Coturnix japonica: one gene and its partners. The main gene of each other region encodes a partner of the protein of the gene in region 4 in a complex. Links are inferred from orthologs where the notes say so. Each region holds a gene or a part of one and is shown on either strand. Other genes may lie near its edges.

Evidence for each region.
Region 1: the proteins of S100B (region 4) and RPS6KA1 are in contact, whole or in part, in a crystal structure (PDB 5CSJ), measured with the Homo sapiens proteins. The link is inferred for Coturnix japonica from reciprocal best matches to the Homo sapiens genes S100B and RPS6KA1. Residues at the interface, in NP_006263.1 of Homo sapiens: Ser42, His43, Phe44, Leu45, Glu46, Ile48, Val53, Val57, Ala84; in NP_002944.2 of Homo sapiens: Ala697, Met698, Ala699, Ala700, Thr701, Ser703.
Region 2: the proteins of S100B (region 4) and CAPZA1 are in contact, whole or in part, in an NMR structure (PDB 1MQ1), measured with the Homo sapiens proteins. The link is inferred for Coturnix japonica from reciprocal best matches to the Homo sapiens genes S100B and CAPZA1. Residues at the interface, in NP_006263.1 of Homo sapiens: Glu46, Glu47, Lys49, Val53, Lys56, Val57, Thr60, Phe77, Met80, Val81, Ala84, Cys85, Glu87; in NP_006126.1 of Homo sapiens: Thr265, Arg266, Ile269, Asp270, Trp271, Asn272, Lys273, Ile274, Leu275.
Region 3: the proteins of S100B (region 4) and CAPZA2 are in contact, whole or in part, in a crystal structure (PDB 3RM1), measured with the Bos taurus proteins. The link is inferred for Coturnix japonica from reciprocal best matches to the Homo sapiens genes S100B and CAPZA2. Residues at the interface, in NP_001029727.1 of Bos taurus: Ile37, His43, Phe44, Leu45, Glu46, Ile48, Lys56, Val57, Thr60, Phe77, Met80, Ile81, Ala84, Cys85, Phe88; in NP_001013016.1 of Bos taurus: Thr267, Lys268, Ile269, Trp271, Ile274, Leu275.

Annotation. Positions count from the first base shown.
Region 1 is NC_029538.1:170,207-174,234, forward strand, and holds the start of RPS6KA1 (ribosomal protein S6 kinase alpha-1), read right to left. Parts: upstream 2,801-4,028; 5' UTR 2,716-2,800; coding exon 2,653-2,715; intron 1-2,652. UniProt on the Homo sapiens protein: Serine/threonine-protein kinase that acts downstream of ERK (MAPK1/ERK2 and MAPK3/ERK1) signaling and mediates mitogenic and stress-induced activation of the transcription factors CREB1, ETV1/ER81 and NR4A1/NUR77, regulates translation through RPS6 and EIF4B phosphorylation, and mediates cellular proliferation, survival, and differentiation by modulating mTOR signaling and repressing pro-apoptotic function of BAD and DAPK1.
Region 2 is NC_029541.1:3,609,065-3,617,227, reverse strand, and holds the start of CAPZA1 (F-actin-capping protein subunit alpha-1), read right to left. Parts: upstream 4,671-8,163; 5' UTR 4,594-4,670; coding exon 4,555-4,593; intron 1,580-4,554; coding exon 1,516-1,579; intron 1,285-1,515; coding exon 1,233-1,284; intron 467-1,232; coding exon 403-466; intron 1-402. Other genes in the region: ST7L (suppressor of tumorigenicity 7 protein-like), read left to right, coding at 4,765-4,957, 5,429-5,511, 6,206-6,365, 6,701-6,755, 7,341-7,456. UniProt on the Homo sapiens protein: F-actin-capping proteins bind in a Ca(2+)-independent manner to the fast growing ends of actin filaments (barbed end) thereby blocking the exchange of subunits at these ends.
Region 3 is NC_029516.1:22,329,502-22,337,505, forward strand, and holds the start of CAPZA2 (F-actin-capping protein subunit alpha-2), read right to left. Parts: upstream 4,420-8,004; 5' UTR 4,412-4,419; coding exon 4,292-4,411; intron 1-4,291. UniProt on the Homo sapiens protein: F-actin-capping proteins bind in a Ca(2+)-independent manner to the fast growing ends of actin filaments (barbed end) thereby blocking the exchange of subunits at these ends.
Region 4 is NC_029522.1:2,448,055-2,456,219, forward strand, and holds S100B (protein S100-B), read right to left. Parts: upstream 5,313-8,165; 5' UTR 4,888-5,312; intron 3,634-4,887; 5' UTR 3,619-3,633; coding exon 3,481-3,618; intron 3,248-3,480; coding exon 3,107-3,247; 3' UTR 2,355-3,106; downstream 1-2,354. UniProt on the Homo sapiens protein: Small zinc- and- and calcium-binding protein that is highly expressed in astrocytes and constitutes one of the most abundant soluble proteins in brain.

The DNA of each region.
Region 1 (4,028 bases), on a different chromosome or scaffold from region 4:
TTTAAATCCCTTTAATTCCACCTAATCTGAAGCATGTGGAGGAGCAATTTACAGAACAGGGAACCGCTGCTCTGATACGTAAGGAGGACAAATGTCAGGACGGGCAGCACCATGCGGGCTGTGCGCTTCTCTCAGTGCTGCCAACACACATCACCCCATGGCACAGGGGAAAGGACAGAACTCTGCAAAAACAACCATCTCCAGCTCTTCCCTCCAGAGTTCCCCACGCAAGAGGAGACAGTGCTCAAAGTGTATCATGGACAGAAACCTCTCTGCTTCCTCCCCTTTGATCATCACTGTCTTCACTTTTAAGCTGAAATGCACACAGAGAAAGACAGTTACTCCTGAATAGCTTCTGCTCAACAAGGGATGAGCAGATGCACACACACAGGCCAAAATAATTAGCTTGGAGTGGTTGGGTTTGTCGTAATCTCATGTCATCTGTGTTGCTCTGTGTTTGTGTATGACAACAAGAGTTTAAAGGCATGCACAGCCATGATGGCAGCTCCCATCACTATGGCAATGCAGTCATTCAGCTCTGCTCCATCTCTAGTGCTCTGCCCCACACAGGTTTTTCTACCACATAAGCAACATTCCAAATAGGCAGAAAAAAATAGAGCAGGGAATAAAAATAAAAGAACTGGAATAAATGAAATCATAGAATGAAATCATAGAATGGCCTGGGTAGAAAAGGACCACAATGCTCATCCAGCTCCAACCCCCTGCTGTGTGCAGGGTCACCAACCAGCAGCCCAGGCTGCCCAGAGCCACATCCAGCCTGGCCTTGAATGCCTGAAGAGATGGGGCATCCACAGCCTCCTTGGGCAACATGTTCCAGTGTGTCACCACCCTCTTGGGGAAAAACTTCCTCCTAAGATCCAACCTAAATCTCCCGTCTTAGTTTAAAACCATTCCTCCTTGTCCTATCACTGTCCACCCTTGTAAACAGAAGGAAGCATGATGAAGCGAGCTCAGTCCACAGGACAGCTCACCCTCCCACTGCTTCCTCAGCACAGCTCTGAGACAGTGGGTGCTGGCTGTGACCAGCTCAGCAGCTGCTCCTGGGGAGCAGTGGAAAAACCCCCTGACACAATGAGTTGGGTGCCTCCGCAGCACAGTGCCAGCACCTCTGCTCCGTGACTCAGAAAGCAAAGGTTGGAGGAAGCTGGCTTTACACCTCGATGGCAGCGATCCCAGGCGATTTACGTAACGCATTCCAGAAAAGTCTCTTTGGTTTCTCTCTTTGGTGCCACCTTGCCCTACAGAAGGTGAACCTTCCTGCCCCTGGCAAACAGAACCTCACTGCGTGCAAAACTCCACCAAGTCCTTCTCTGCCATTCACAGATTGTCGGCTCCAGGTGCCTGCAGCAGCGCCCAGAGGTGCAGAGTGCCCATGCTACCGAGCACATCGCTCACCTGAAGCCCGAGGGAGCAGAGCTGCTGGTGTCCCACCTGGCACAGTGCTGAGGTGTCAAGTGCCTTCCAGCACCAGCACTCTGCTCCCAGCCCTGCCGCCAACCTCCAGCCCTGCCAAGGAGAGCTGGGAAAGGCAGCCTGCAGCTGCAGTTTACAGAGTACACATCCACAACTAATGCAATGGGGAGAGGAGCCCTCGCTGCTGCCACAATCTTCCTGAGGGACTTTGGCTGATGAATGTGGTGCCCCCGTGGCTGCTTCCAGCCAGGGGAGACGTTTGTGGTGTTGGCACAGCTGCCACCCAGCACCCGAATCCCCAGGATTAAGTGACACACCAATCCTGCCCATGGCATCTATCGCCCCAGGCACCAGCATTAGTTTCCTCCCACTCCAAGTTTGTTTTCCAGACAAATCGCATCCCCCCATCACACCCAGCTTTCCCTGAGCACGTTATGGCCTCAGGACCACGACCCAGTCCCCGAAGGACACAGGCACATCCCCACACCCCAAGCAGAGGTGAGTGCACAGCACGAGGCGCAGCCGCCCACCCCTCACATCTGGCTGTGACAGCTGGGCAACCTGGCCTCCGTTCCCAGCAGAGCTTCCTTAAGAGATAATTTTAAGTAGGAATAAACGAAACTGACCAGTTAACCACTGTGACATCCCTCGGCACGATAGGAGGGGTAAGAGGCAGAAGGTCTAAAACGGGAGAGCGGCAGGGAGCGAGCGAAGCGGGACAAAACCCGCACGAACCCATCCCGAAAGCCGCGAGCTGCAGCCGGGCTGAGGAGCCGTTTGTGCTCACACCTCGGCTGCACCACAGCGAGGAAAAGGTTGCGAGCGGTGCCGACGTGCTGCGGCGGCTGCGGTGCGAAGCGCGGTGCGGGCAGCGCACACCTGGGCTGGGGGGGCTCGTTAAGAGCGAAGCGCACAACATCCAGCGGACAGACGCAGGACGGCGGCTGGGCAGCGCTGAGGCGGGCGGGGGAAGCTCCCAGAGCAGAGCCGTGCTCGCGTTCACAGCTCGTACCGAGGAGCCGAAGGAAAGCAGCGCAGCCGGCAGCTCCCAGCGATCCGCCGCGCTTCCCAACCCCGCGGGGCTCAGTTGGAGCAGCGGGGCAAGAGCGGAGGGAGGGAGGGAAGGAAGGGAGGGAAGGAAGAAAAGGAGCAGGCCGGCCGGGCTCTCCTTTGTTCCGCGAGACCCCTGGGGGTCGCCGCCCGTCTCACCCCGCTCACCTCCGTATCCAGCTGCACCAGCTCCATGTTGGGCCAGGGCTCGGCCAGCTGTGCGAGCGGCATCCTGCCGGCGAGCAGCCCCGCAGGGCGCGGCAACGCTCGGCTCCGTGCCCCGCGCTGGGCACCGGCTGCCCGAGCCGGGCCGGGAGCGGCGGGGCGGGGCGGGGGGCGGCGCGGCTCCTCCCGGCTCCGGGGCGGCTCCGAGCTGGTCTCGGGGAACCGTCGCTCGGCTGCGCTCGCTGCCCTGGGCAGCCCACTGCGGTGCGGAGCCTTTCCTTAAGCCCTTCCTGACCCACCCCCGCCCTGCGCTTTTCCTTCAGGCAGCGACGTGAATGAAGGATCGTGTGTATATCCACGCACACCTTTGGATTCTTCGGTTGGAGATGAGTGGCTGATCGCGGTGCTCTCCTCGAATACGGGTAACGAACCCCTCCCCGCTTTGCCTCGGTGGATGCTCGGAGGAAAGGTACTGTGAGCACAGCTGCTCAGAACACATGCGGCACTGTTTGGGTTTGCCGGGTTTCTCGTGCAGGAGGAGTTGTCTTCTTGCTTTTACTGAAATCCAAAGTACCACGTTTTCAACCTCTTTAAAACGATTTGTTATTAAAAAAACAAAAACAAATAACCACGTCAAAGGGTGCATTGCTAAGGGCTGACTTCATCAAGGTGTGGCTGAAATATCATTTAATGAGCCCAAGGGAAAGCACAGCACACAGCTCTGCTGCTGCACTCTGTCCCGTGAAGCCATCCCTGTGAGGCCCGAATGCCGTGAGCTGATCAGAGGCGGTGAAGGTGAAGAAAGCTGAAGTAGAACAGAGCACAGCAGGCTGAGAAACTCCACTCCATCCTCACAGCTCTCAGAACTGATCTGTGAGCCATTACTAGGCCCATCTTGTTCACACGTGCAGGAATCCGATGTAAGAAATTCCCACGGTGAAAGTATGTGAGCCCAGCACTGCTGTCTGTGCTTGGAGCACCCCTCTGTGCTGCAAGCACTGAGTTGCAGATGAAGGCATTAAATAACACAGATCCACCAGGCTGGTGCTAAATGAGGCCAATTAAACTGATGTCACTTACCGTTGGAGCAAGCTGAAGCAGATCTTGCGGAGAGTTATTCATTCAGCTCCGAAGCTGTCCATAATTTACCCTTATTGTTTGGTACATGGTGTGCCGTTTGCTTGCATCCCTCCTCCAGCTGCTGCAGATTGCAACCTGTTTTAAATGGCATCGATAACACGATGATGTCAGTGCTGGCATCCCGCTTACCTTCTATGTTTGTTTGCAAAATGCAGCTCCTGTTCTGGATTTCCAGCTACTCTGCATGCAAACCAACTGGGAATGCGTAGAGGAGTATGAGGGAGGAGAACAAAATGAGA
Region 2 (8,163 bases), on a different chromosome or scaffold from region 4:
AAAAATAAGAAACAAAAATCAAAATGCTCTTATGCTGCTATAAACGTGAGACCACAGGAAAAAGTAACACTGAGAATTCACCAGTAGGAACTGTGAGCATGCAGTAATGTAGGGAGTTAAAGTAATCTTTAATCATTCACACTTGATCTGGAATTCCAATGACTTCAGTGTGAAGCTTTACCTAACAATGAATTAGTCACCATGTAGTAACAGACAATGCTCTAAGGAAAGATTTTGCCTCTGCCTCTTACACAAGAACAACAATTTGGTAATGCAGGGATGATGTGGGGGAAGAAGAAAAGATGATAATTTGCATGTAGAAAGAAAATCATAGAGATCCTGATAAAATAGATATTGCTTCTGTGCAGTAACAGAAATCTTGAGTGTAAAGCTTTTCCTTACCTGATCATCATACCCTTCTATCTTCACCGGAGTGAATTGATCCATGTTATACTGTGCAAATGCGCTGTTAAGAATTAAGAGCATGAAATTTAGCTGTACGTATATTCATATTCTTTTAGTAATAAGCACATGGTATGACTCATACTACAGGGAAAATTGCAACTTGCAAATAATCCACACATTGATAGCTGTAATAATCTGGGTCTAAAGCCAGGCTTATTCAGTGATCATGAAAGTACAGAGTTCAAAAGTAGAACAGAAGGGAGCCTGAGGGAAAATGAGCAAGCTGATGCAAAACAGGCAGCAAGGTAAACAAATATGAGTAGACTAATGTTTACAACAATTTTCTTCTGTCAAGACCTGCTGACGGATGTGTCACACAGATCTAAATAAAACATCAGAAGCCCTTTATGCATAGCATGTAGACACCTTCTGATGTGACTGTGCAAGTAAACAAGATGTTCTGAAAGCAGTTTTTGAAGGCAGCTTTTATTTTATGCTCTGGCTGAGGACTGCTCAGAATTTCAGGCTTCACTTGCTCACCAAATCGCATTTCAACAAGATCAGCCATTCTTGCTGCTGCAGAATTAGCCTTTTTGGCAGAGTGCCTTCCTGTCTGTTATGTACGGCCTCTACACCACAAATTCCAATTTAAGCCTTTTAAAAAGAACCAGCCATGCCTTTCATTATATATTTCGGTGGGGGATAAGGAACTACAGCAGACTGCTCTCAATGAAACAAATGGCTTCCTTTGTTCCAAGATGATGGGTGTAAGTCAAATTACCACCACAGAGAGGCATAGTCTTTATGCTTGAAACATGAATACTTACTGTGCTGCTCCTTCCCTGAGAAGATTGTCGTTGTTAAGCAATAACCGGACATCTGGAGAAGAGAACATGTAAGTTATTGGGTTTTTTGATCAAATGTTTCTCTATTTTACAACTGTACAAACATAAACATTGCTGATTAAATTCATTTTATTAAGGGTAAGTAGTCACAGAATGGCAGCATGCTTTTCCCAACTTCTACTTGACCTTAAAAGCAACTTATGACAGCCACAGCCTCTCGGATGAGGTGTGGATAAAATGTTACTGATGGCTTTTCTTTACTTACCATTGAATACTTCATTGAATTCTCCAGGAGGGGCATGAGTGATGAACTTTGCAGCTATACGCACCTGTTAAGACAAAAACCATTTGCTGAATGCAGGCATATTGCAACCTACTCTGAAGCAATTAAACAAAACCCCCAAATCTGATGATAATACTCATTATCAGAGTCAGGGAGAAATCCAGGTGTGTGTTTTCAAAGTGGAAACCATCAGTCCCATAAGGCTAGATACTGTTTTTTAGTGCAAAAAGTAGCAAGAAGAGCAAATTCCACATGGGTGACTGTGAAAATGTTCAGCCTTCCCAGTACTGTTTACTTCTCTGTACAGAGTTGCAAGTGTGTATCTGTGTATCCACTACACAAACATTTAGCATGATGTCCTGTGCAAGGACATTAAATGTATGTACTCAAACTGTTATATCCTAAACCTATCCAGAAACAGTGTAGGAAACCTGTTTAACTTCACCCTGACTTATGGATTTGTTGCTGACTTTGTCAGGAGCTGAATAGGGATTCATTACAGGATGTCCTGGTTTCTTGTTATCGATGTCAAGCTATGATTTCAAGAGTTATTGTCTCTTTGGAGTCTGTAGTTAACAAAAAGAACTGGATCTGCTCCATGCAGTGTACCAGCTTTTCTGGCATGTTTTCTCAAGGTTTACTGGCCACTCTTCTCTGGTTCATTACTCCTTCCCTTATCCTGCAATAGTCTTTTATTGGAAACTGCAGCACAGTCCAGCCATGAGTCGTCACTGTAAGGAAAGAATGAAGGCATCTGGAACTGTGTTACAATAAATAAGAGAAAAGGTCAACTGGAAGGAAAATACCCAAATATCTGTAAACTCTGAGGCTGTAAAAACAAAAGCAGTTTCCTTCTGAAAAATAAAACAACTTCACTGTAACCCAAAATCTCACACAACTCTGGGATTATTAGAATTTTGGAGTAATTCAGTAATTTCAGCTGCCACAGCTGGAAAAACACTTTGTTTCTCTCCTGTCTGCCATGTTTTAATTGGAAATAGTTGTATCAATTGTCACATTTAAAGCAAGCCATGAATGAAAACTCACACCTTTCCAAACAAAGGGTAAATTGCCTTATTCCAACAGTATCAAGTAACTGCTCTGCCTTAATTGGGCAGAGCTTCAGATAAAAACAGATTGCTTTCCAAATTAGAATCTATTTTGAAAGTTGTACATTCTTTATGCATGAAGTTATTGTACAGTACAAGTGAAAAACTTACACTGGATTTTGTTGACTTGAGTTGGTAACTTGTATAGTTTATATTAGGAAAAATGTAAAACCATTTTCTCATGATTTCCTGCTTTTAAATAAGGCTGATAAAGATATTATAATCCTAACAATGTCGTTCTTATTGTGTGGAGCTTTTCACTGTCCAAAGAACTGTAATTAGGATGTACTGCTTCACAACCTTGTTAGGCTTCGCTGTTGGAAGCTCGGATGGTGACGAAGATAACCCAGCAGTAATTAAGAGGGATGCTTCTGTTCTGTATCCTCTGTGGATTTCACTGACAGCCCTGAAGGGCTGAAATACTCTGGAAATGATACAATGTCCTTTTCTAAGGAAGCGCAAGTGTAAGCATTGGTACAGGTGTAACAATGCACTGAAGCATTTGCAGATACAGTACTTGGAGCTCATGCCACAGAAAACCACTCAGTGGTTTAAAGCAGCCCTCGCATCGATTCAGTTGTGGAGCAATAAAATAAAAAGCATTTAAATCAAACCATTGAAATCAGGAGCAGAGCGAAAGAAGCAGACAATAGAGAACTTAATCCTAAACGCCATGCATTCAAATCACTATTACTTATCGTTTTTAGGGCTGGTTTGTTTCAGTGCACTGTCAGCACAGTGGCAGGAAGTTCTTTTGCAGAAGCATTAAAATAAGGTTTTCTGCAAGCTGCCCCATTTCCTGCCCATCGCTGCCATTTCAGGTAGCTCTGCAGCAAGCAAACGACACTGACTTCCTCTTTCCAAAATGGGGAGAGCTGCTGATAGAGAAGCTGCCCATCACTGCAGCAGACATGATTCCTGAGCACTGGCTTTCCTCAAGGCTTATAGGGTTGGGATGTATGAGGGCACAAGTGAATTTTATCATTTGTTTAATTGTTGGTTTCTTTATTAAACAGGTGGCGTAATAAAGCTCTGCTGTACGTTTCTTAGAATTCATTATCGTTTTCCACCATGGAGCTACTTAGACTGATTCCAACCTGCCTGTGCTGGGACATGAAGTCAAACAAAGGTTCCAGTTTCAAGTGCAATTCTATCTGCTTGGACAAATGAAATGCTGGGGCACAGGCGGTGCAGGATGCATCCATCTGAAAGTGCTGTGAAAGAGCCATAGAATATAGAGGAAAGAGGAAAAAGGGCCCATTTTCATTTCAAATGCAATGATTTCCATGGTAGCAGCCGAATGACAGCAGGTCAAAGATTTGATACAGCACTGGAGGGATTTAATTTCCAGGTGAATTCTGCTCTATTGGTTTCAGTGCTGCTGGGATCTAACACACTGATGGCCCAATGGATCCGTAAGGCCCTGCCAGCCTCCTTCACCATAAAGCTGCTGACATTAAGCACAACCAGGGAGGAAAAGGAGAAAAGAAAAGCGACTCCGTGCTCACAGGATCCCCGAATGTTGACATCCCAGAGCAGAATTCCATGAAACAACGCAAAAAAAACCCCAAATGCAACAGTTTAACGATACAAGGCATTGCAGCTGTGGGAAAGAAATGGCCATAGGCTGCCAGCTTTTCCTTTGTGGCAACTCAGACGGTAATTTTCCCACATTTATAAGCCAGAAGAACAATCTATTTTTCTCCTCTTTTCAATATGAACCTTTCTCTCCACATCCCATCCCCTCAGCTCCGCACCAAAGCGATGCGGGATAAGGGAGTGTGGGAACGGAACGGGGATCAAACTGAATGAACCCGGGGAAAGGGAGGAGCCGAAGGGCAGCCCCTGCCCGCTGTGGGGCCGGCCCTAGAGGCAGCATGGGGTCCTCGGGTCGGGGTCGGCCGCTCCCTACCTTCTCCTCGTCCGACACCCGCTCCTCGAAGTCGGCCATCTTGGCAGCTCAGGGCCCGGCCCCGCGCGGAGCATGCCGGGAATCCCGTTTGGGTTAGACCGGAAGCTCATTCGCCGCCATGTTGGTTGCGGGTAGACGCTACGTTGCTGCCATCTTAGAGATGGGCGAAGTTTAAGGAGCTTCCCCTTCCCGGCATCCCCCGCGCTAATCATGGCGGACGGCTGCGGTACCGGGATGGAGCCGCCATGTCCCGGGGTGGCCGCGGCGCTGCGGCGCTGGGAGCAGCTGAGGCGGCGGGCGGCGGCTCCGTGGGCCCGTGGGATGTTGGCTGTGGCCGCCGGGCTCGGGCTCTTCTACCTGGCGCTGCGGGTGCCGCTGCGGCTACGGGACGGCCTGGCGGCCGGTGAGGCGGGGGGGGGGAACGGGGCGGTGTAGATTCGAGGCCTCCAGGCCGGGCCTTGTCCCCCCCGGGCCTTGTCCCCCATTACTGTGCTGTCCTCGGGCTGTGGTGAACCCTCGGTGATTGTAGGGTGAGAACTGCGTTTCCTCGAGGGCCTTGATGGAGATCAGGGCAGTATCTTGCATCATGGGTTTAAGTTAAGATGGAATAAGGCCCTAAAAGGACGCGTTGGTGCCCGGTGCCGTCAGGAGGTTGTTATGTGATGGTCATATTTTGATGGTTGTGTAAGTAGTGAGCTGTCACAGCAATACATCCAGGCAAAAACAGCTCTAATAAAGCACTATTATCCATTGAAGCCCCAAAGATAATCTCACACCATATATGTGTGATTTTTAGGCAATGCTGTTCAATAAAACCCCTTTTTGTGTCTTTCAGTTCTGCTCATTAAGTCTTGGTTTTTCTGTCTCCCAACAGTGACTGTGTTCTTAAGCACTTTGACTCCAAAATTCTACTTTGCCCTCACAGTGACCTCATCCTTTATATCCGGACTGATATTTGTAAGTAGGCAGCTCTTCTTTTTTGTTTCCCTTTTATTCCCTGCCTTTTCAGCACCTCCGAGATTATGCCATTCACCTTCAATGGAACTGACTTCTTCAGTCAGACTCTAGAGGGTGCCTTTGCACTAGGAAGGAGCTCGTTACTTAGTATCCTTCCATATGTATTCTATATACTTTTTAACTTGTGTGTTGCCCAGGCTTAGGGAAAGTAGATTGCATCTGTTTGAAGGGTTGTTTTGAGGAGGTGTGTGTCTATTTGTATACACATGTGAATACATGCATAAATATATAAACATTTTAAAATATACATGCAAAGACAGCAGTGGAAAGAAACTACTGTTTCTATCTTGGAAAGTAGATAGTTTAGCTTCCTACAGTTGTATTTTGGTGCTTTGTGCATGTATTGAGGTATTAATATGTTATTGTCCATAGTGTAACAATAAGACCTGGGGAGAGAGGAACATAATGAGAGTAAAACTTTCCTTTTTTTCCATCTTTTCCATGTTGGGTAATCCTGTGTGACAAGACAATCCTGAAATAGATAATTACCATTGATTTTTAGGTATATATTCTGTCTGGAATCATTTGCAAGGGGATGTCCTTTCTCTGTGCGGTTTTCTCTCCATCCCTGGTGTTTATATCGGAAGGGTGTTGTTGCCTAAGGAAATGTTGAGTGCTTTCTTTCCCATAACAGGTATTTGAATGGTGGCACTTCCGAAAATATGGCACATCCTTCATTGAGCAGGTATCTGTGAGTCACCTGAGGCCACTCATTGGCGGCGTGGAAAACAACCCTCCAGCACCAGCAGCATTCTCAGCTGGAGAGAATGAGGCGAACAGGCAGAACATGCCAGGTGATTGCTAACACATCCCTACAGTTTGCATTCAGCTTGAAGCTTTCAAATGATTTGAGGGATTTTGCCCTGTGCTATTGCTTGTAATGACTGGAGAATGGCCTACATCCTATGATGTTAATAATGACACAGTGAGTTAATTGATCTAAAGCATTATTTATTCCCTTAGGAAATAGATTACACGTTCAGCTAAAACTGTTTCAGTAACTTTAGATCCAGTTGGATAAATATAAATTAAATTGGCTTTTAAAATTAAAGTAGCGTTTTCATAACTGCATATGAAACACAAAGCAATGTTGTTTGTGCTCTTAACTCAAAAAATACTTCTTTTTCAGAATGCAAGATGTGGCGAAATCCTCTTAATCTTTTCAGAGGGGCAGAATATAGCAGGTATTAACTGTTTTACTTTCCATTGCATGTTGTTAGTATTAACTGGGAGCCTACACATGGCTTCACTGCAGAGCTTGTACTGGTTGTACTGGGAAACGGCCGAGCCCTGCAAGGTTACAAGGGTGATTGATGCCAGTCCTGTGTTTAAAAGGCACCTATCCAAGCTTTGACAGTCTTAATGTTAAGAATGCAAATATTATTGTAAATATCTTTTTTTTTTTTTTTTTTGAGAGTAAAGTAGGAGAAAAATATTCCTGGAATTATTTTCCTCTTCTCTATGAAAGTCCTGGTCTTACAGCTGTTAATGTTTTATTCAGAGATTGAGACAGTGATTCTGAATCTTAAGTCTCTCCTCTGAGAAGATGCAGCTGTATTGTAACCCTCTGTGTTTGTTTCTTGAGAAGGAAGTTGATTAGGACTGCAGGATCAGAAAGGTTTTTTTTCCTTGTGCAACCTGTTAAGAAAACTCCTGATCAGCTCCTGACTTTTATTAACATAACATTTCTGCACTACTTGTTGTTAAACACTTCAGATATCTTCTTTGGCATCAGCATTACCATTTTACTGACATTTCTCCTGTTTAAGATACATGTGGGTGACTGGGAAAGAGCCTCTTACCTACTATGACATGAATTTGTCTGCTCAAGATCATCAGAACTTTTTCACATGTGATACAGATTCCCTTCGGCCTTCAGATACAGGTACCTGTACTCTGTATGCATAAGATACGTAACAATTGGGGTGTGTAAAACAGGTTTATTTAATGTCATGTCAAATATTTTGTGAATTAGCCTTTCTGTACTACTTTGAAGGTTTAATGTGTGGATTTGGGAATGAGATTTTTTCTCACCTTGTGCTTTACTAAAGGCTCTCAGGATCCTGACATATTATAATAACTCACTTAAAAAAAAGATAATAATAATGAACAGCACAATACTGAAAACATGGGCTGTTTCCTTAACAACCAGTGAAGTGATCTCATTTCAACCTTACAAATGGTGCCATCTCTGTTATTTTGCCATTGTGTTTCAAATACTCAGTGAAGAAACTGTTCTCTACCTGGCTATTGTCAGACCGGCTCCTAGCTGTAAGGAAGCATTACTTGTCAGCTCGTTGTGACATTTTTGATATGAATTACATATTTCACAAGTGGAGTGTATTGTCTCTCTTGCTAAGCCAAGACTAATATTTTGTTTCCAAAAGAAAACTCAAACATTTTTCCACGTTATTCTTGCTGGACAGCAGAAAGTTTTGTTCCAAAAGAAACATGTATAGATTCTTCAGTTCTCTTATCGTGCTTTGAGATAGGCCAGATATGTGATTCCATGAACGTAAAGTTTTGGAGTTATTTCAGAGCTGTTATTTAGTATGAAAGCTATTACTTCAGCACAGATAATGGCAGCTCGAA
Region 3 (8,004 bases), on a different chromosome or scaffold from region 4:
CAATTCCAGAAGTTAAGATTTCAGACCCTTCCAAAACAAATGATTAAGAGCACAAACTGACTTACTAAACATCGACATTTAATTACTTTTAAAAGAATAACTATCAGTACAAAAAGCCCTACTGATGCTTCTAAGTTCGTGGGTGGGTTTCCTCCTGCACAGGGAGCTCTGCTGCCAACATACATGCTGCTCTGCTACACAGGAGGCTCGAATCCGGGGGTTGGACTCGATGATCTCTAAGATCCCTTCCAACCCGCACGAGACTGTGAAACTGTGTGTGATACTGTGATACAAAGCCTTGACACGAGACAATGCATTTTACTGGCTTAAACTTTTCATTTCTAAGCATTTACTAAAGAAATGAGTTTTCCTTAACCACTCTAAATTCCACTGCAGAGTTTTGCTGCCATATTCAGTAGCTTTCTAGCTGTTCACGCCTAGTTCAATAAGCTGTCAAGTTACCTAATGCACCAGGGAATATGTGGTAGCAAAGCAAGTTCACTTTCACAGATGGGACTATTTCCTCATCAGAAGTCTTGTTATCCCTCCAGCCAGTTGGCCAACTGCTCAACTCCACCTTACTCAATACGCCTCCCTGAACAAGTAGGAGTGCACTGAGGCATAACCTTACTGAAAGAGGCGGGGTTCCTTTCTGATACCTTTGACAATACATGGACTTTTATGCTCAGCACTGTAAGGAAAGCGAGCTGCTTTTGCATTAAAAAATACCACGTTATGTTCTCTAATTTCCTATCAATGCTCTCTTCTTTCTTCACTAAAGACATCTCTGTTTCCTCAGCCTGCCTCCACGGCTATTTAACTCCTGTGCTTTGTAGTGAGAAGGGTTTACATTGCAAAAGGAAAAAGGACAAAAAAAAAACCCTACAGCAAACACATCATGGTGAGTCAGCAAAAGGCACTGACTACAGAACATCACAGAATCACAGAATTATAGGGGTTGGAAGGGACCTCTAGAGATCTTCGAGTCCAACCCCCCTGCCAAAGCAGGCTCCCTACACCAGGTCACACAGGTAGGCGTCCAGCTGGGTCTTGAATATCTCCAGAGAAGGAGACTCCACCACCTCCCTGGGCAGCCTGTTCCAGTGCTCCATCACCCTCACCGTAAAGAAGTTCTTGCGCACATTCGTGCGGAATTTCCTATGCTGTAGTTTCATCCCATTACCCCTAGTCCTGTCCCCATGCACTACTGAAAAGAGACCAGCCTCACCACTATGGCTCCCACACCTCAGGTATTTATAAACATCCCTAGGATTCAAACAGTTGCAGCCCTGCTTTGTGTGTGCTGCTATTTATTAACAAGTATTTACATTAACAAATACATCTGCAATGAAGACAATACCTTCCGTTGATCACTGCTTATATTCATGTAAATAAAGTGCAATTCTTAGATGCACGCTAATAAGCTCATAGAAAAAAAACAAAACATTTTTATATTTGCTTATCAGTTTTTCATGGCCACAGGCAGAATGATTCGTACAGGAACTGAAACACAACTACACTGCTAAAAGTGGTTATTAAGCATAAAATCTACTACAAATATGTTGGATAAATAAATAGCTTTTGTATTCAAGACTTATTCAGAGGATAAATTACCTCCGAAGTGAAGGAAAGTGATGATTTTCCATTACTTCCTCCCTTAAAAGTTCTGTATTCCAATATTTCTACCTCTCACATCTCATTTTGATTTACAGACTGAAACATAAGCATAATATTTTCTTTTTTCCACCTAACTGAGATGTTCCTCATTTTCAGTGACCTACAGAACACCACAAACCCACTGTATCTCAAAGAAGCTGTCTGTAGTACCGGGCAGTCCCTGGTGACCCATGGGATGAAGCAGCTCCCCTTTGACGACAGGCTGAGAGAGCTGGGGCAGTTCAGCCTGGAGAAGAGAAGGCTCTGGGGAGACCTGAGAGCGGCCTTTCAGTGTCTGAAAAGGGACTATAAGAAAGAAAGAGACAGACTCTTTAGCAGGGTCTGCTGTGACAAAACAACAGGAAATGGTTTCAAGCTTAAAAAATATGAGATTTGGACTAGATATAAGAACAGTTTTTTTATAATGAGAGTGGTGAGGGACCACAACAGGCTGCCCAGAGAGGAGGTAGGTGCTGTCTCTGGAGACACTCAAGGCCAGGCTGGACGGGGCTCTGAGCAACCTGATCCAGCTGTATGTGTCCCTGTTCACTGCAGGAGAGTTGGACTAGATGGCCTTTAAAGGTCCTTTCCAACTCGAACGATCCTATGATACACCATCCTGCACATTAAAGTGATGTTTCCTTGCAGTTGCTCTTCTCCTTCCTTGGTTTTAGAGCTCCCTTACCTGAACTAAGCACTTTTTACTGCCCTTGCAGCACTTACAGTTCCTGCCCACACACAGAGGTAGCCACAAACCAAGTACAATTCATAACCTGTGCTATCACTTAATCCCTCACTATAGCTACATCTCCATCAAAATTTCCTATAGCATTAACATTGTTTATGTCAGTCTTTGATGCCATTTGTTTCGTATAACAGGAGAAAGTTACACAGAGAAGCATATATATACACATACATAACACTGACAAACTTTCAAAGTGGTTCAGACTCACGAAAACTAACCCACATGCCTCTTCTGTGACAAATAAAAACCTGGAGGTATCACAGGATCAGCACGGTCACTTATTTGCCTATCCATGAGCCTGCAGCATTATTCATCTCTGTTTTATTGCCAATAAACACGCAGCCAGGCTTGGAAAACTTCAATCGTGTAGAATGATCAGTGTTATAGAGGACAGACATGGGCAGAGGAATGAATTTAATCTGCAATGGAAAAATGCTGACTTTATTCAATTATACAAAGGCAGAAGAAGCCTCCAGAAAGTCTGCACCCATTTGGAGACAAAAAGAAATACTGTAATTAATGGACAAAAGGAAGTTCAGAACTTAACTTCATCGGTCACTTGAGTACAGGCAGTGCTTCTCAGCTCATAGAGAGCTAAGAAGAAAGTGTCACTGTATCTTACGTTATTTGACAGGACAAGAGGCAATAAGAACAAACTGAAACAGGAAGTTCTGTCTGGCACGAGGAATGAAGCATTTCTGAGCTCTGTGGGTGGCTGAGTGCTGGCACAGGCTGCTCCTCCTTTGGGATATTCAGAAGCAGCCTGGATGTGATTGTGGGTTCCCTGCTTGGGCCTGCGAACCTGAGCCATCCTCCAGCCCTGGGATCTTCACTTGCAGACTCAGCATGTCCAGGCATATACTCTGTCAAGGGCACAGTGGATTAAAGCTACTTGTATGTTGTAGAATGAATACAATTACAGACTGCCACATCTAACACACGTGAATGTGAACCAGATAGAGGACCAGTCTCAAAACCTGTGGCTAGGAACAGAAATTAGAGATCCACATCTTAGCCCACCAGCGCCTCTCCAGCTCTGAAACACAGCCCTGTCAATCTTGAAAAGTACAGAGAATCGACCTCATTGTAACCACCTAAGACATTCTGGACATCCTTCTTCTAACTTCAGAGAAGTCTGGAGCATTTATTTTTCTGATGTCTCCAACATTTAAATCATCCCAAAGCTTCCGCTGCCACAACAACCTGCTTTGTTTTTTAGTACAGAAAAGCATAAAACCGCTCTATGTGAAGACATGAGCCGAGCACACGGAAAACCACACCCCAGCTCTGGGCAGGCAGCTACCATGGAGCTGGGTCCGAGGGGAAGGCAGGGAGTGCTGCTAACGGAGGCATTGTAACACACGCTGCTTCTTGAGAGATGCCTTGTGAAAACCTGCTTGAAGCCGGATGAGTTCCCAGGGCCACAAGCAGCGATCACGCACACAGACCCTGGGGTCTGATCCCTGAGCTCAGCCTTCCCCCGCTGCTGCTAACAGGAAACGAAAAAGCCTTCCTCACCCCACACCCTTCCTCCTCTAGGGCACGCCGGCTCGGGGGCCAGGCCGAGGCACGGCCCCATCCCTGGGGAGAGCAGGAGGCCCGTGAAAGGGGAAGCGGAGATGGAGGAAGAGCCGGAGGAGCCTTTTCTCTCCCCGGCCGCCGCCGCCTCCAGCGGACACAGGATCCCGGCCCTACAAGGAGCGGCGGGAGCTGCCCCGGGCCGGCCCTGCCCCCTGCCCGCCCGCGGACCCTCCTCCGGCCCCCGACTGACAGGCCGAGCCGCAGGGGCGGCCCCAAACGGCGACGGTGCCGCGACCCGCCGACTCAGAGAACCGGGGAAGGGGGGGGTTCGGCGGCCGGGAGCAGCATCCCCACCCCGCCCGCCCCTACCTTCTCCTCATCCGAGAGCTGCTCCTCCAGGTCCGCCATCTTGCCGTCCGGCGCCCCGCAGCTCCGCCCTCGCGTGCAGGAAGGGCACCCCCGCCCCAAGGCTGAGCCGCGTCTGCGCATGCGCCATGCGGGGGCGGGCACCGGCTGAGGGAAGGGTGGGCGGTGTGTGCGTGTACCACACGGAGCGCGCGGGGATAGGGAGGAGGTGGTGGAGCTGGTGTGTGTTGTGAGGATGTGGAGTTCAGTGTCTGCTTATGGCAAAGACCGGGAGACCAGGGGGTGGGGGAAGAGCTGGCGCTGGCTGGGAGTGCTCCTCACCTCCTGTGGGACGCTGCTCAGGTCCCCTCATGGCGGGGCTGGCTGAGCTCTGGGCTCAGAGAGGTGGGAGCTGAAATGCTGTGGTGAAAAACGAAACCGAAGGCTGAGAGGAGTCAGATGATGTTTGTGAGATATCCTTCCTCTAACTTGGTGAAAACCAGAGGAAAAATGGGAAATGATGCATTAGGGAAACCAAGTTCTGCTGCTTGGGTTGTGTGAAATGCTGTGGTAAAGGCTGAATAAAACGACTGAGCACCATTTCATTAATAGGGGTGCCAGTTTCCTCGGTGGTACAATAGCACGTGCAGCTGAAATAACACGGAAATCCTCATTCTGCATAATAAAACATGACAACCCTTAAGTGAATCCACACATCACGTTATTTTATTGGGTACATCTTTCAGTTGGATTAACACTAGGAAACAAAATGACAATTTGGAGCTTCACACGCATCAAGATAGATCTTAGTAGATCATAATTAGTGGTATGATATAGTCACCTTCTAGCAAAAGATCTTGGTACGCTCTGAGGCTCATCCGTCTCTGTTGCAACAGCAGCCATATAAAATTGCTTAATACTGTCACATGCAGCACAACAAAATATTCCCAGTACCTGTAGCATTCTAGATGCCCTAGAGGGACTGTTGTATTTAAATAAAAGAAAGCAATATTGTACAAGTGGTTTTTGCAGGTCAAGCGAGCACTGGAAAATTACAATGCCCTGAAAATCGATATAGAAACAAAGGATGAAAATGAAAAAGTCAATGAATGTACAATTTGGGCAACTTGTCTGATTCAGAAAAGCTGAAGAGACGTTTTAAATATCTGTAGCCATGCTGGACAAAGGTAGTTTTGTTCCTGTTGGGAACAAAATAAACAACAAACAAACCTTGTATGTGATGAGGTCCTTGCTAGAGGCAAAGCAGTGAAGCGTAGAACGAGAAAGGTATGTCCTGACATAGTTTGGTTTGGGAGCATCTCATACTTGTTATTTGGAGTCAACAACTGCAGTTAATGGTCTGTAGCATGGAATGCATTGCGTAGCATTCAGTTTCATGCAACAGGAATTGATAATTTCTATCCAAGAGTCTTAAAATAAACCAGCTGGGGAAGTCTGTGTTGATTTCCAACAAGCCTTAGGATTTGCCACCTACTGGGGTATTGCCAAGGAAACAGCTTTACTTAAAATGTAAAAAGAGGATCACTCAAGGAGGTAGATCTGGGCATATAAACATGGCTGATTTTCTCCTAAGATGTGATATCTAGCTGCTGGTTTTACTGTGTTTAAGCAAGGTTTTTTTTTCTTAACATTTGCAGAATTTTACCATGGTGAGGGGAATGATTCAGGGGAGGACTGTTGAGTCATCACAGATATTAGTGGGAACCTTCTGTGCATTACACTGGCAGGTGCTTTACTGTGACCTTAGGACTTAATGGGAAGTGAATAATCAGGATAATGTGGAAATAAGTGCTGCTCTTGCCTTATGACTCAGTGTTTTGAAGTGGTTTTGTGTCTTTTCAGGAAGAATATGGATACTTCATGGGGAGTTTAAAGGAAGGAGAACTAAAAATATTCCTGAAGATGCAGAGCGAACTGCAGGATGGGAAGCTTAAGGATGCCAAGATTAAGAAGTGACTTAGAAAATATCTCCTCGGGGGGTGACTGCAGTATAAAGCAGTGATGCCTGAGTTAGTTTGGAATTTATCTGCATCTTATCTGAAGTTATATTTCCTCACTTGCTGTTTTAATTTGTACAAATTCAGTTTCCAACCGGTAGCTCTTATTATGCCATGAAGTTCATCTACATAGCTTTTTTATGTGCCACTGTCTCTACACATCGATCAAAGGTTAATTTGCACTGCAGTTACATGCAGTAAAGTGAAACATCCAATTGCTAACAAGCCAACCCAAGTTTAAGTGAATTTCTAATCCCACATTGGAGCTCACTCCGGGCCGCCTGGTCTGTCTGATGAGCAGTGTGTGGTTTACTGATGCAAGGAGAGAAGGGCAATTTAAAATAAAATAGAAAAGCAGCCATTGAGTCTATTTAATTTTATCAGACACCGTAGAGCTACTAATCAAGTACATTGCTGTTCTGCTTTTGTCATTTATTTCGGTATTGACTCTGAGCAGTATTTGGTCTTTGCAAACCTCCCAGTTCTCTCTTTTTACCTTACAGTATCTTAACAGTTAAAGCAAATAGGTTTATTCGAGAAGAGTTGAATGGTAAATCCTTACATTAAATGCTTAAAGTCATGTAGGGAAGAAAGCTATAATGCAGTCTAGCTCTAGTGCAAACTTTAGACTGAGCTCCTTCCTTGGCTAACACAATCTTTTAGGTTGCAGCAGGTATTCAAGAGAATGGCTCAGTAGCCCTTCACCATCTGTGGAAGTCTGAGGATATTTAGGCTTTTTCAGTGACGTTTATAAGATTGTTGCAGCATTAAGTTTCACAACTATAATATTTATTGAAATTTTGCATTGTATTTTATGTTTATGACTGTGCATGTCACAATTGTCTGGATGACAGGCTTGATATTTAGAGTAGACATTTTTTTGCTGTTTTGGGGGCTGATTTTACCATTGCATTCAGATCCGATCCAGGCTTGCTCGGTGGCTTCCTACTCTGCTTCTATTCTTGGGAGCTTTCTCAGCTTCTTTTTCCATCCCACCCCCTCCAGGAATAGTCAGCTATATATCTTGCCTTATGTAATTCAAATTCACAGTCCTAGGTTTGCCTTTCTTATTTCATAGACAAGTATCTATGTTTTAGGAATTATGAAGGCTTCTCTGAAAGTCATGTATCCTATTTTCATGAGTCTGGCCCACAACCGGAGGTGGTGATGTGGCATTAGAGGTTGAAACTTCCCACCAATATTCTGTTAAATTTTGATGCCCTGCAACAAGATGGCAGCGGAGGGGCAGCCTGAAGGGGGTATACTCATTCAGAGTGGGATTATTTGTGACACAGAGTTTATATTCAGAGATAGGAATGCACAAATGCAGGGTGAAAAAGAGCAAGAATTGAGCATCCAAGAAGCAGCTAACCAAAGGAAGGTAATACAGCTTTGTCTTGACTGCTACTCCTGCTTCAGCAGAGATAGGAAATTGCAGGTCTTTGAAGGGAGGTTCAGTGGGCTGTAATGGCAGCAGCAACTGCGAAGAAGTGGAGGCAACAAGATGATAAGGATGAAATGCTGCTCAATAAAATACCTAAGCAGCTCTGAGCTACAATTTAGAAGAAGTAATGCTTACATAATCCAGACTGTGTTGATTTTCAGAGGTGCTAAAAATTGGATGTTTTGTTGAATCTGAAGCATGTAATCTTCACTCACCGTGTTGGTGTCAGTACGCTTCTCCCAACACGTTTGTTATCTTTGCTATTTTAGTACGTG
Region 4 (8,165 bases):
AACACAACAGCTGGCAAAGAGGAAGAACTACCTAACCCCAATTTTAATGTCGTAGTTTTTTTAGCAGATAAAGCATTGTAAGATTTTTGTATTGATATGGTTGACAGTGAGACAAGTTGCCTTGTAAGACTTAAAAGAAAAGCACATTAAACATTTCAGAACAGCTCTTGAACATCTGACTTCATGTATGTTGGCTTCTGGACCAAAACCTGGTTTCTTTACAGTACACAGTTTTCACCTGTATTTTGAGCAGTGCAGTGCTCGAATGCCCTGACCATTACAGTACAGTGGGTAAGGCCAGGTAAATCTGGTTGCAACATCTGTTAGAGGGAATGAAGTGAAGTCAGATCACCCTCTGAAATGCTGACACTTTCTTCTGAAGTGTATTTTTCAGCTTAATGTACAGAGGGAGCAGGAATATGCTTCCATGTCCTTTAGGAGAGAAGACTGTGCTGCAGCTTGCAATGTGAACTATTAAACATACAGGAGATGTGATCCAGTGCTTTGTGTGCATGATTGCTTTACACCATCCTTCTCTGAGGGCTGTGAAAGTCCACATTTGATATTTGTGTGAGGGGGGGGGGGGGGGGGGGAAGTATTTTTGATTTTAAGTCTGTTATGTAGGTTAGTTTTTGTGCTCTGAGTATGTGAAATCTTCCTGAATGCTTCTTCCTCCATTAGCAAGACGAAGGATATTTTCTTCTAGATATGCTAGCAGCTCCCAGTAAGATTTGCACCTGTGTAGAAGAAGCGTGTTCTTTCAGTGCTGGTGATTTTGTGTCTTGTCAGAGAGGGTTCCCTTTTACACAGATGTGCTGTGCCTATCATTATCTGGGATGAGAGATAAAGTGCAGATTTCATAGAATGATAGAATGGCTTGGGTTGGAGGGGACCATAAAGATCATCTGGCTCCAATCACGGGCAGGGTTGCCAGCCACTAACCACATCGGGCTGCCCAGAATGCCTCCCAGTCTGGTCTTGAATGCCTCCAGGGATGGGGCATCCACAGTCACTCTGGGCAACCTATTCCAGTGCCTCACCACTATCTGAGTAAAAAATGTCTTCCAAACATCTAACTTAAATCTCTCTTTTAGTTTAAAGCCATCCCCCTTCTCCTATCACTATGTCACCTCCACTTCTCCTGTTGCTGTCAGATCATGTAAAACGTTGGTCCTCCCTCCTGTTTGCACATTATCTTCAAGTACTGGAAGGCCAAGATGAAGTCTCCCCAGCCTTCTCTTCTCCAGGCTGAACAAGTCCAGTTCCCTCAACCTTTCTTTATAGGAGAGGTGCTCCAGCCTTCTGATCATCTTCATGGCCCTCCTCTGGACCTGCTCCACATCCTTGCTGAAGACCCCAGGTTTGGACACTGTACTCCAGATGGGGCCCTTAAGGGCAGAGAAGAAGGAACAATCACCTCCCTCTCCCTGCTGCCACCCCTCTGTTGATGCAGCCCAGCATACAGTTGGTCTTCTGGGCTGCAAGCACACACTGCTGGCTCATGTCTAGCTTTTCATCCTCCAGAACCCTCAAGTTCTCCACAGAGCTGATTTCAGTGTGTTCTTATCATAGAATCATAGGGTTGGAAGGGACCTACAAGATCATCTAGTCCAACTGTCCTCCCACTGGAGGAGAGCACTGATCTCAAGCCCAACCTCTGGGGTACACCATTTGTGACTGGCCATCATGTAGACAAAGAGCTGTTGACAACAGCTCTCTTGCTATGACCATCCAATTCTGGATGGATGGATTTATCCACACTGGATAAATCCAGTGATTAGTCCAGCCTTCAAATCCTCCAATATAGAAATAAGGCTGTGGCGTGGGACCATAATATAGGGCGTGTGCACCAAAGCTGCCCCTGGCTGTCATTTCTCCAGTGTTTAAAGTCTGAGTCTGTTAAACATTTCAGCTCCCTGCTGCCATATTTTCTCCTTTTACTTCACTTGTAGTATTGCTGGCAAGTAGTTCTTATTTCAACAGAGCATTTAATATGAAGAAACTATCTGCTGGTGCCCTGTCTGATCAGTCCTCATTCATTGTCCTTACACGTCCTCAGGTCTGTACAGTCTGTACCAGTGGTGGACAAGTGATGAGGATGTCAGAAACGTAATAAGTAACTTGGATGTGCACTACCTTAGGATAGCAAAACCTCCTTTTCAGTTATTGGTGGAGCACAAGATGGCAATTGCAGACTGATAGGTGATGGGAGCTGAAAGAGAACCCCAGGTAAATGAACTGGCTGCCTATGTGAACTTCAGCGGTGCTCCGAGGCTGTATCCTCAACCTTTGACAACTCAAAGCAGCCACAAAGTGTACAAAGCCCGGAGACAAAAGGATTCATTTTTCACCAGAACCGCATTATGGCCCAAAGACCAACATTTTATTCTCATTGTTTCCACATACTCTGGAGCTGCAGCTGATAACATATGGATTTCACCCTTCCTTCAGGCTGAGCCTTGAGAGCTTGCCAATGTGCACCTCAGGCCCAGCCCAGGAGCCTCCTATGCTTTCATTTCCAGTTCTGCGGACAGCTATAAGCAGGAGGATTCATAGGCAGGAGAAAAGCCTGGGCTGTTACATGGTTATGCTTTGCCTTTCAAGCCAGGAGTTTCTCAAGTTGCCAAGGACTGCATGGGCTCTGCTCCAGGGTTAGTAGCATGCGTGGGGCAGTCAGAGCCCACAGAGATCACAGAGTCTTTCTGTGTAGGCCAATGGGCTCAGAGCCAGGCCTCTATAACCAGCCTCTCTGCATCACGCCCTGCCTCACCCCTTGAATTTTCCTTTTCCCTTTGCCAGCAACCTAAAGGATTGCAGCGGCCACCTGCTTCCAGCCCGCTGCCTGTCCCTTGCACACAGCAGCAGGGAGTGAGCCTGAGATGTGGCATTCGAACACATGCCATCCCAGGTGGGCGCTGTCTAAGAGGCTTTCCCAAGATGCATGGGCATTTCTGCTCACAAAGCTGCAGAGTTTAATAAGCTGCTTAAGTAGCGCAAGCTTAACTTCATGGAGCCCCCAGGTGCATCCAGTCTTCTCCCAAGAGGAGTGGTACCGCTCTGCATCTCTCCAGTGTGAGTGGGAGCTGCTCAGCTGCTTCTCACCAGCTCACTCGTGCTCAAAGAACTCATGGCAAGCAGAGGTAACCATGGCAATGAAGGCCACGAACTCCTGGAAGTCACACTCTGCATCCCCATCACTGTCCAGTGCCTCCATGACTTTGTCCACGGTCTCCTGGTCTTTGATCTCCTGAAAGGGCAGAAATGGATGTAGTAGCATCTGCTTAACAGCAGCCCTACCAGGGCACCTTGAGCCCCACAGGGTAAGGGTGATAAACAGGGTGATAAACCGTCCCAGGGAATGAAATCTCCCTAGTGTCCAGCCCAAGCCTCCAGCCCTGACACAGGCTTTGTCCTGCCACCACCTGCTCCTGGGGAGCTGGAGCCTGAGCCCAGCTGTGCTATGTAGAGGGCAATACTCACACCAAGGAAATGAGTTAATTCATTGTTAATGAGCTCCTTCAGCTCCGATTTCTTCAGCTTATGCTTGTCTCCTTCCTTCCCGGAGTACTGGTGGAAAGCATCAATGATGGCAATCATGGCCTTCTCCAGCTCAGACATGGTCACAGCACAGTCCTGAGATCAGAGGGAGGCGACGGGCACATCAGCAGGGTTAGGCTGCAGTGATGCATCAGAGCCCTGCTGCAACCCCCCACCCAACAGCAGCACAGGCAAGCTCTGCCAGTGGCTCTCACTTCAGAGAAGATCCCAGGATCTGTGGTTCTAAGGGGCCTTGGCTCTGAGTGCTCCAGGTGAGCTGCAACACAGGGAGTGGTGGCAGTGGGACAGGTGCATTCCCTGGAACCAACAGGAGTGTGCAGAGCGTGGGAGAGAAAACTGGAAGGAGATGGGTGGCAAAATCCTGGAGGCTTCTTGCGTTTCCCATATGTGCTGAGCTGGCTGTCAGCTGGGACAGGGTCATTTGCTAAGCTTGTGTTGCCAGTCCCCTTTGGGAAACCTGCATAGCAGAAATGGGCTGCGGGAAGCACAGAGCACTGGTCTGTGCCCAGGATGGGGCTCCAGCTCTGGCTCAGAGCTGCCTTGGATCTGCTGGACCTCCCCCAGGTCTCACCGTGGCTGGGCTGCATCTCAGTGCTGCTGCCTGGCGCTCCCCATGGGAAGGAAGCCCACTTTCAGATGGCTCAAACCACTATCAAAGTGCGGCAGGAACTGGACAGTGTCCTTGTGCCACATTCTCAGCTGATGGAGCACCCGTTTAATCACGCATATTGTCACCTCACCCAACTCTTTTATTCCTACTGGTCAACCCGTTGCTTTCCTTGGCAAGTTGGGGACAGGAGCAGGTAAGGGTGGGGGGATGCATTTCAGAAAGGCTTTGCTTTCCCTTTTATTTCAGGTGCCCACACCTCTGCCCTTCTTGCCTGCAGGCCCACTTCCAAATGAACAGTCGGGAGGGCATGAGGATTCGATTTTGATAGTTGCAAATAGAAAGAAACAAGGGCAACTCCTCTGCCTGCCTTCCTCGCACATCTGACCTGGTGCAGGACTACCAATAATTTCAGCTATTCCTGCAGATTCCACAGATATCCGTACAAAAATAACCCGACAGGGAGGGATGCAAATCCACCTTCCCAGAAGCTGCTCAATGCATTTACACTGGGCTTAAAAAACGCAACGGTTTGGTGTCCGGTCCTCGTTAAATACATACCGCAGGGGTAAATGTCTGCCATTGGTTAACTCAGCTCTGCACCGGCCTCTGCGGTGAGCAAAGATCTCAGCTCCGGAATGGCAGAGAACCATGGCGAACCAGCCAACCAGCCCGCCCGTCGGCTGCTCCCCCACCCCACCCAGAGCCCCATTCCTTCTCACCTCCCTTGGCGATGCTCAACGCTGCGGCTGCATCCCAGCGGCTGACCGCCTTCTTATGCCCGTGGGCGTGGAGCTTCACCCGTGCCGCAGCGCCCGGGACCAATGGCAAAGGGAGGCCGGGCCGTCCCGACAGCGGGCTGGGCTGTGCGCAGTGGCACACGGACGCGCATCGGCGCCCAGCCGACCCACGGCGGCCGTGGGGGCTGCTACAGGAGGCGGCCGTTGTGAATAGTGCGGGGAAGCAGACCCCGTGCACTGAGCAGCGCGGTGCCGGAGCGTGGCCGTGCCGCAGCTCTGCCCGCACGGAGCCGACGAGCAGCAGCGGAGCTGCGCGACGCTCCCACCCGCGGCCCGGGGGCTCCGCACGGCGCAGGGGCTGCGCGGCCGCTCCGTTCCGCGCCTACAACCGAGGCGACGGCGCCCGTGGCGGACCGTGCCCTCGCAGAGCCTCGCGGAGGGGCGGGCCGTGTGCCGGGAGCCCGAACCCCGTCGCTCCGTCCGTCTCCCCGCGCCCGGACGAGCGGCGGCGCTGCCCTGCGCTGCGCTCATCTGCTGCACGTGGGGCCGGCACGCGGCGCGGAGACCGTCCGCCAAACACAGCGAGCGCAGAGGCACCGAGCGGACTTTTATTGCGCACCTCAACCCGAGCCCGAGCTTCTGCTGCCGGCACAGCTGCCGCCGCGCGTGGCCGGAGGGAGAGCCCGGCGGCAGCGCGGCGATGGGGCGGCCGATGGACGCAGAAGGAGCCGGGCCGGGGGCGGCTGCCGCCAGAGCTCAGCGCCTAGTGGGGGTGGCCGTGGGGGTGGGGGCCCGGCGGGTGGTGCCCGGGCGGGTGATGGCCGGGAGGATGATGCTCGGGCGGGTGATGCTCGGGCGGATGATGGCCGGGAGGATGATGGCCGGGCGGGTGATGATGCCCGGGAGGGCCGTGCGGTGCAGGTGGGTGCCCAGGCCCGGGATGTGGCGGCGGCGGCCCTCCGTGTGGCCCTGCAGGAAGAGGGGAGCGTCAGGGCTGCGGGGCGGCCACGCGGCTCTGCTGCAGCTGCAGTGCCCCGGCCGCCGTGGGAGGCTCCTGGACCCGGGCGCGGCCGGGCTTGCGGGCAGCGGGAGGGGACGTGGGCACGGAGCGGCCTGGCAGCGCGGGCACCCCCAGGGCCGCCCGAGCCCTTCCCACGGGCGCTCACCTGGGTGTGGGGATGACATCTTCTCACGGCCCCGAGCTGCAACGGAAGGAAGCACCGCGCTGTCAGCGCTGCCTGCCGTGCGCGACCCTCGTGCCGGGCGTCCCCGTGGCCCCAGGGCTCCAGCCCACGTGTGGCCCCGCACGGACGGCACCGCCTGTCCCACACACGTCCCCGTGGCCACCCCGACCCTCCCGGGGGTCCCAGCTGCAGCCGCCCTCCCCTCTGCAGTCCCGGCACCACCCCGGCTCGTGGTTTCCCTCGCTGATGCAAAGAACCCGACCCCGGCCTCACGCAGCCCCTCGGGGCGGCGAGGAACAGCCGAGCCCCGTGCCGGGCCCACGGCCTCGGGGCCGCGTGGCTCCACCGAAGAGCCGGCCCTGCTGCCTCCCACCCCGCCGGCCGCTGCCGCTCAGCACCTGCACAACCGACCGCACGGACAGCACGGCGGGACCGGCGGCGTCCTCACGCGGCACACGGGCTGTCCGGGCCGGCCTCGGGCACCCCGTATTTATACGGGACCCTGACACCCGACGGGCACGGCTGCCTCATAAACACGCCGATGGCTTTACGGTGCCATCATCATGGGGATGCCCAGCAGACACACGGCGCACCCAGCACTGCGCACAAAGGTCTGCAGCCCTCGCCGGGCGCTGGCAATGGGTGGTGGCTCCTTCCACCAGCTCCTGATCCCGGCGGTCAGGGCCAGGGTGGGTCCGGCACAGCGGGTCCAGGCACGGAAAGGGGGCACGGGCAGGTTCCTTCACAGCCACTGCACAAACCTGTGCTGGAAAGACGTGCGTGGCACAGAGATGCTACACTGGCTTCTGTTGTCTGATGCACGAGGTCAGTGGGTGTTTGGTGCCTTCTACTTTGGGTCTGGCAATAAAGTTTCCTCCTGTTGACTTTCAGGGCGATCCGGGTTCCTTTGTGCTGCAGGGTGACACTTGTGTAAATCAGATGGAGCAAAGTTCAGGACAAAAAGCCCACAGTGCTGGCCGTAAATTCTTGTGGTTACCATTCAGCATTGGATGTTGGATGGTGCTGTGGGTAGTGAGGGAGGGGCCGTGGCCATTGAGGTGTAAAGGATGACAGCATGCATGGCGTGACACTGCCATGCAACCCAAGCTGGAAACCTGCCTGTTATCAGGGTTAGATGTGCGCCTTCAGCCTTGGCCATGTCCCACCTCTGCAAATGGGCAGCTCCAGGTTTCTGCCTTGTTCCTTGTACAGGGTCCTTGGCCAGTGTGAATCAGTCTACACCCCACCCCTGACTCCAGCCCAATGTTGTGAGTAATCCTTGAGGCCTGTGAGGAGGTGAAGTGTCAGACTGTGCTAGGCTGGGAGCTGGTGCATTTCTGAACATGTCAGCGATGTGCAACGTGCCGCCAATTCTTTCATCTTAAAATTCATGGTCCTGGCCTTTTAATGAAGACTGTGACCTCAGGGAAACTTTCCTCAGGTCACTGCTTTCTTGCTAAGACTTTGGACTGATATTTTTGGAGAAACAGAGGGTTTTACATAGCCCAAAGCTGAGCACAATGCTCCAGGCCTCTGCTTTTCTCTCTCCCTAGTTTAACACAATGTGAGGTCTTCATAGCAGGCCCAGAGAGAAGAGGCAGTGTGTGCCATTGTGTCCCTGCTGTGCGTGGCACCAGGCTCTGCCAGACCACGAGACAAAGGCTGGCGGTCATTGAACTGGGAGAAAAAACCCGTGAGGGCAGAGGAATGTGAGTAGGACGGGAAATAAACGCTCCTGCCTCTGCAGGGCAGCACACTGGGAACAGGGTTCTGCAGGCTCCATAGCTCTGCGTGCCACTGTGCTCCTTTGAGCGCAGGAGAGATGGGATAGGATCCTGGCAGGCAGCCTGAAACCACCTCCAGAATCAGGAAGCAGCAGCGAACACTGGGAGTCAGGCTGGTGCCCATAGCAGTCAGTGGAGAAAGAAGATGGAGTGGGCTTGTATAAAGCAATGCCCAAGTTGCATAATGAGTGCGATGCCTGCGGCAGATCGATCCTATAAAGACAAGAAACTCAAGCGGTTCACCCACCATCGCTGCCTTTTGGCAAATAGTGCTGGAAATTAACTCAAGGTT